Kluyveromyces lactis: one gene and its partners. The protein of the gene in region 3 interacts with the protein of the main gene of each other region in a biochemical or structural test. Links are inferred from orthologs where the notes say so. Each region holds a gene or a part of one and is shown on either strand. Other genes may lie near its edges.

The links.
Region 1: the proteins of NFS1 (region 3) and ISD11 form a complex in vitro, tested with the Saccharomyces cerevisiae proteins (3 studies listed by BioGRID). The link is inferred for Kluyveromyces lactis from reciprocal best matches to the Saccharomyces cerevisiae genes NFS1 and ISD11.
Region 2: the proteins of NFS1 (region 3) and YFH1 form a complex in vitro, tested with the Saccharomyces cerevisiae proteins (2 studies listed by BioGRID). The link is inferred for Kluyveromyces lactis from reciprocal best matches to the Saccharomyces cerevisiae genes NFS1 and YFH1.

Annotation. Positions count from the first base shown.
Region 1 is NC_006041.1:402,206-404,217, forward strand, and holds ISD11 (Isd11p), read left to right. Parts: upstream 1-1,106; coding exon 1,107-1,382; downstream 1,383-2,012. Other genes in the region: APQ12 (Apq12p), read right to left, coding at 1-437.
Region 2 is NC_006041.1:787,031-789,441, forward strand, and holds YFH1 (ferroxidase), read left to right. Parts: upstream 1-1,265; coding exon 1,266-1,838; downstream 1,839-2,411. Other genes in the region: ubiquitin-specific protease UBP1, read left to right, coding at 1-276; EXP1 (Exp1p), read right to left, coding at 421-852; PBI2 (Pbi2p), read left to right, coding at 2,245-2,411. UniProt on the Saccharomyces cerevisiae protein: Promotes the biosynthesis of heme as well as the assembly and repair of iron-sulfur clusters by delivering Fe(2+) to proteins involved in these pathways.
Region 3 is NC_006040.1:421,958-424,993, reverse strand, and holds NFS1 (cysteine desulfurase), read left to right. Parts: upstream 1-951; coding exon 952-2,445; downstream 2,446-3,036. Other genes in the region: PET8 (Pet8p), read right to left, coding at 1-444; LEU2 (3-isopropylmalate dehydrogenase), read right to left, coding at 3,003-3,036. UniProt on the Saccharomyces cerevisiae protein: Catalyzes the removal of elemental sulfur from cysteine to produce alanine. It supplies the inorganic sulfur for iron-sulfur (Fe-S) clusters. Plays a role in both tRNA-processing and mitochondrial metabolism.

The DNA of each region.
Region 1 (2,012 bases), on a different chromosome or scaffold from region 3:
TGTAACGAATTGTACAAATCATAAAACGGAGCATACACATCCTTGAGAAAGGATCCGTTCCCATGAGCATCCCTTGGTAAGTTATGCACGTACTGTTTTAACCTATCTGCCAGATATGGCAAATCCATCAGGATAACTTGAGAAACGCCTCTTTGCCAGACGTAAAGACCAAATACTACCAGAATAACATAAGAGGACGATTTAACAACTCGAATGGCACGCTTTATAGTCAAATAGGCCATGTATAATGAAAACAAGTAACCCAACCAGTCAGAGACTTGTGGGTACCTACTTACAAGCGAATGCACCGTCTGTAGGGCCCATATCAGATAATAAGAGGCATAGTATGTCAGTTTTTTTGCCAAATTCACGTATGGCTGATATTTTGGATCACTCAACAGATGTTGTAATCTCTGGTATTCTTGATAACTATTCATAATCGTCTAACCTTAACCACTCAAACGTCGAAACTGCTTTACCGGTTTGCTTACCAGTACCCAAAATAACTCCTGGCTCCGATATTACTCCACGGATTTAACAAATACCGTACGAAAGTTGACTTTAACTTTAATAAGGGAACGGCACTGACAGAAGAAAAGACAATCCAAATCTTTCTCAGCTAATTCGGAGATAGAAGTATATATATATAAATATATTCCTGAATTGCAGTGCAAAACAGAAGAATATTCAAGAAACTATTATACAGTAAAATTTACATCTTAAATTCACGTTGCCATCAGAATCAGAATAAAGTTGTGTTTTGGTTTTTTAGTTTCAGTTTTTAATTTCCTTTCGTTTTCTGATTTCTTTAACATTGGAAAGAAGGAAAAAAATATTGTACTTTATTATATTTTTTAGTACTTTTAGAAGAACGTTTAATCATACATAACACAAATCACAAGGTAAGGTTCAGGATCCCATATCGGTATTATCATAGACCGGAGTTTCTGCGTGTAATTATTTGATCCGCTAGCTTTCAGTTTTATTCTTTCCGTTGTTTTAAAGGTATTTTTACGAAAGGAATTGGAGTGATTTCGTAAGGAAGATAATTTCAACTCTTCAACTAGCTACACATCCACAAGCACACACATATATTAATACAAGAGATGCCAGCTACTGGAGCAAGCAAAACGCAGATATTGCATATGTATAAAGAGTTCATCAGGAACGCGAGCAAGATACAGAATTACAATTTCAGAGAGTATTTTTTAAGAAGGGCAAGAGAGTCATTCCGTGCCAATAAGAACGTTGAAAATCCTGAAAAGATCAGCGAATTGCTTTCTGAGGCAGAAAAAGACCTTGGTGTATTGAAGAGGCAATCTGTGATCTCTAACATGTACACATTTGATAAATTAGTGGTTGAGCCTCTGAAGAAGCGTTAGCATGGCCCATTTACAGGAATGCTTTCCCCTCTCTTTTTCATATTTCTTTCAATCAATGAACGACAGTCCCACTAGTCCAGTTCCCCCACATAATTTCCTTGGTCCGCATCCCATGTTTTGCATTTTAAATAGGTATAATTAACAGAAACGCGATTCTAACAGATTCAATATGATCTCAACAGTTCTACAATTACTGGGATGACTCAAAATGCTAGTAAATTTACTCATTTTGTTTATCTCTTTCGCGCAAAACACCAATCGTTTGCGTAGACAATTAATATGTCTTTAGGGTAGGTTATGGTACTGAAACACGGTGTCTGTAAACAGCAAGGACAGACGATTTGTGTCTTCCACGACGTTCCGATCCATGCTAGACTGCTGTTCGAGGATTAATAAGCGGAAAGAGAGAGAGACATGGGGTTTGGAATTGCTCAAAATCACGTGAACAGGCACGTGACTTCAACCAACCCAAATCCAAGATAATATCATCGTCGTAATCCAGATATTATTCATGTTATGCATATTTCCCTTAATACCAATTATAAGGTCATTGTCGTCAGTGCCGTCGCATCAAACAGTATAGATAAGCAATCTAATTTCGTGCCTGTAGAGTCTATTTTTTTAATTATG
Region 2 (2,411 bases), on a different chromosome or scaffold from region 3:
TATGTTTTAAGATCTGTTATTGTACATTATGGTACTCATAACTATGGTCATTACATTGCATTTAGAAGGTTCCGTGGTTGCTGGTGGAGAATTAGTGACGAAAGTGTTTACATTGTCGACGAACAAGAAGTGCTTTCTACCCCCGGTGTTTTCATGTTGTTCTACGAGTACGATTATGATACAGAAACAGGGAAGATGAAAGACGATACTGAATACGAGAATGAATTCAACGTAGAGATTGAAGGTGAACCTGCTGTTGATCAAGTAACTCATTGAATTTTATTTTGCAATTTCACGCATCTAGTTACATAGATACATAAATATCACAAATCCCCTAATATAATAGCATGTTACAATCAGAGTTTTGGAGGAGTTTGAAACGCTGTACGTAAACCTCTTTACTTGTGAGAACAAAAAGGCTCACACAAGATTTTCCTGTGTCTCATTTTCTTTACCCAAATACTGGGCATACCTTGCAGCTTCCTCTTGTTGTTGCTCTCTTAAATCCTCCGCGATCAACTCATCAACATCATAATCAAATTCAGCTTCGTCCTCATTGTATTTACCAATGACACGCTTCTTCAACCCTGTTTTCCCATCGATTTCGAACTTCCGAGTCCCAAATCCCTCACCTTCTTGTGATGAACTAACTTTAAACTTCACAGGTGCATCCTCTTTCTTCAATTTTGCATATTTTGCAAGGGATCCAGCCTTTTCCGAATCTTTGGCATCACCACTGCGTCTGGTAGTCTTCTTGTCCACTGAATATGAACCAATTCCTCCAATTAGCGGTAGTAATACAACGAAAGCTACCACTAAAAGAAACACAATTAAATATACAAATGGGTTCATTGCGAAAGGCAGTACTGACGTCTAGTTGGCACTTTTCGTCAAGAAGTTGATATTATATCTTAAGAAACAGTTGTTTCCCTTTGTATGCATAGCCATTAGCCATATAGTGTGAGTGTCGGCTCATCGATCTTTTTTTTTCAATATAGATTGTGGAAATTAGATATAAACTTAAAAGACTTGAAGGACCTTTTCAGTTGAAGTAGGTTGAGAAATCACAGTTTAGGTACGTTATTCTCTATCACGTTGAGTTCAGCATACAACATATTGAGGTGCGAAAACTGAATCAGTCCTAGTTGCTATTAGCTTGAATTAGTAAATTTACCTTGAGGCTTGCGGGAACAGACAACGTTCAAAGGAATTATTCGGAGTATTGAATTGATACAGTAGGAAAGAAATTAGAAGATAAGGAATAAATGCTAGTGAAAAATAGCTCCAGGGTCATTAGAAGCGTCATTTCCAGACGTAGTATTGTTACCAAAGCGATACCTAGCATAGGTCTCGCAAGAACTGCACCAACTAGGGCTCCTGTGTTGTCAAAACTCGGGATTTTGAATCAACATAATCTACCCTTTGTTACAGTACAGCGGATGCATAACAGTATAGCAGCATCAACAGATGGGAAAACTATCCCAGAAGAGATTCTGGATATGCCTATCGAAGTGTATCACGAAATTTCTGATGAGTTTATGGATAGCTTACTGGATCAGCTCGAAATTCTCTGTGATTATCATCCAGAAGTCGTGCAGGATGTTGAGATGTCACAAGGTGTGATGAGTATAGAAGTTCCTTCCGTTGGTACATATGTAATCAACAAGCAGCCCCCAAATAAACAAATATGGTTGGCTTCTCCGGTGTCTGGGCCCAACCGATTCGATTACTATCAAAAGGAGTGGGTTTCGTTGAGAGACGGTACGAAGTTACTGGATATCCTAAACAAAGAGCTCAGTGACCGACTAGAAGGCGACGAAATTGACCTACATTACTGAACGATGTAAATATGATCTTGCTGCTCACAAACTGCCTTACAACTATGGCATGTCCGCAGTTCACCGTTAAGGACCCAATTTCGCAGAAACAATTCAGAGATCACAATCAACCAATTTTACTCTTATTTATGTATATACTTTTGTTTGTTTCATTTATTTATACCTATAACGTCCAAAATATACCTTACTGACGCGATTGCACTTACACAGTCCCTGACTTCTTTTGTTCTTTATAGTCTATACTTTGTTGCTATATAAATGAAATCTGTTTGACTCAGTAACTTTCTCTTCTATAAATGAAATCTGTTTGACTCAGTAACTTTCTCTTCTATAAACCACATTTGATAGTCTCGGTAAAGAAGGGGTCATTCTGAGCCAGAAGCAAACAACCCCAATCATAACAATCATGACATTCAAATCGTTCATTATCACATTCAAAGACAGCGTTCCAGAAGCCGACGCTTCAAAGATCAAAAACTCCATTTCTTCTCTGGGTGGTACTATTGTCCATGACTATTCCTTAATTAAGGGATTTGCTGTCAAGTTGCCAGAGTCTCTAAAGATTGATAAATT
Region 3 (3,036 bases):
CAAACCTTCTCCGTTCTCATTACGTAGTAACGCCTGCAAAGTTTGCAAAGAAGAATTTGTCCTATGAGTCTGTGTCCGTTGCTTGATCACTTCAGCAGGAACACGAACCATACATGCAGAAATCTCACCAAAACTAGAAGAGACCATATGCGAAAGCGTATCTGCCGTTTGATCTTCACCTTTTGGCAAAAGCTGACCGATAACAGGCCGCGACCAGCACTTCATCGAATCATACGCAACGAAAAACAAAGAAGCACTTGGTGCACTCGCAACAACCGCGCTCCCAAGACCACGGTACACACCTTTGTATCCACCATTGGCGAAAAACCCACCTTTAGCTTGTAACCGGGTTTTCAAGGTGTCTATTGGGAAAAATGCCAGATCGGTCGACGTTCCTGCTGCGGCACCACTCACCAAGGACGCAATAAACATCTGAGAATCCATTTCGCACTATTCCCCCAAACTCCGATCTATAAAAGACTCGTCTGAGTCTGTAATTGATGTACAATTCGTCTTTCAAACCAGGTGATGGTGCAACAAATGCAAATCTTTAAATCATACATATGTATATGTTCGGTTCACTGCTCTGGCTTCTTTTTTTTTCAACATAGGATTTGAGGAAAAAAAATCGAGAAATGAAAATAATTGGAATTTGGGAGGGAAACACATCTTGACTAATGCAAGAATCAGAATCAAAATAGAGGAGAAGAAGAGTTTAGAGAGCAACAAAGGGTCTATATTCTCAGTTGCGTATTAGGAAATTGTCTGATAGTACAAGACCTAATTTTAGAAACAAGAATTGATTGATACATTCAGTGTACTTTCAGTGATATCCCAGGTTTTTTTGTTCATTGTTTTTAAGGACAAAAGCTCGGTTTTAAAAGGAGTTATAGTTCTAAGATCGTATACAAGTTTCAAGCAACAGTCTACTATCCTAAGATAGATATTGTAATGACGATGACATTGTTAAGAGGAGTGAGTGTTTTTTCCAGGCGTGTGCCCGTTGCTGGTGGTTTTGGCTATTTGAAGCGTGCTGATATTAGTAACGTTGTTTTACAGGGACGGACGTATGCAAGTGCCAAGGTTGCCTTAGCAGAAGATTTGACTTTGGAAACGCATACAGATAACCAAGCAGCAGCTATTGAGCAAGCCAACGAAAGAGCCGTGTCAAATCCCGATGTTTTGGACAGTGGTATACATTCTTTGCAACATGCATACCGTGAATCCGGGGAATACGGTACAAGACCTATATATCTCGACATGCAAGCTACCACTCCAACAGACCCAAGAGTTCTAGATACCATGTTGAAATTCTACACGGGGCTTTATGGTAATCCTCATTCAAATACTCATAGCTATGGTTGGGAAACTAACAAGGAGATCGAACAAGCAAGAAAATACATCGCCGATGTTATCAAAGCTGATCCAAAGGAGATAATCTTCACTTCCGGTGCTACAGAATCAAATAATATGGCTTTGAAGGGTGTCTCAAGGTTTTACAAGAAGACAAGAAACCATATTATCACTACAAGAACTGAACACAAGTGTGTGTTAGAAGCCGCCAGAGCTATGAAGAACGAAGGATACGAAATCACATTTTTGAATGTTGATGAGCAGGGTTTGATCAATTTAGAAGAGTTGGAAGCTGCGATCAGACCTGAAACTTGTTTAGTTTCTGTTATGGCCGTCAACAACGAAATTGGTGTTATGCAACCATTGAAAGAAATTGGTGAACTTTGTAGAAAACGCAAAGTTTTCTTCCATACCGATGCAGCGCAAGCTTATGGTAAGATACCTATCGATGTGAACGAAATGAAAATAGATCTGATGTCCATTTCCTCACACAAAATTTATGGTCCAAAGGGAATTGGTGCCATTTACGTTAGAAGAAAGCCAAGAGTCAGATTAGATCCGCTTATCTCCGGTGGTGGTCAAGAAAGAGGTTTACGTTCTGGTACATTGGCTCCACCTTTGGTTGCCGGCTTCGGGGAAGCAGCAAGATTGATGATGAAAGAATACGAGAACGACTCAAATCACATTAAAAGATTATCTGACAAATTAATGAACGCTTTGTTATCTATTGACCATACAATCTTAAACGGTTCTGCTGACCATCGTTACCCAGGTTGTGTTAACATTTCATTCGCATATGTCGAAGGTGAATCCTTATTGATGGCTCTTAGAGATATTGCTTTGAGTTCTGGTTCTGCTTGTACTTCGGCATCTTTAGAACCATCTTATGTGTTGCATGCATTGGGTAAAGATGATGCTTTAGCACACTCTTCCATCAGATTCGGTATTGGTAGATTCACCACTGATGAAGAAATTGATTACGTTATCAAGGCTATCACGGAAAGAGTTGATTTCCTAAGAGAGTTGTCCCCATTATGGGAGATGGTCAAGGAAGGTATTGACTTGAACTCCATCGAATGGTCAGGTCATTAAGCTGGAACAAAAGTGATCTATATCATAGATTCATCATTTTATTTTCTTGCTAGAGTGCATACCAAATCTTTATCTGGTTTCTCAATTTACATGATCTCCCGTTATAACTCGGGGAACTACTACCGTATATACTTTGTTCCTCGATTTCAAAGTACAATCATAATCTCATCTGACTTATCGTTTTTTCTTTTATCTTTCTCTTCATCTCAATATTATGATTAGATTGTTTTGTAAGCTTTTCTACCTGAAATATGCACCAATATTCAGAATATCTCGTTTGCCAGTTTTTATACAAGTCTTTCTATAGTTAAGTATAAAAATGTTATGTTATTAACGTTCAAATGCTCAATCACATCTGGACAAGCAAATTTCCTTGTCTTCAGTTCATTTTGGGTATGCTCCTTTAGATTTAACACATTGCAGGCTAACCGGAACCTGTATTATTTAGTTTATGCTACGTTAAATAAAGACCTTTCGTTCACATAACTGAATGTGTAATGGCCTTGAGATTTCAAGCATACCAAGTTGGTGGAGACGGGGTCGTTACAAAAGACTCTTTAAGCCAAGATTTCCTTGACAGCCTTGGCGATA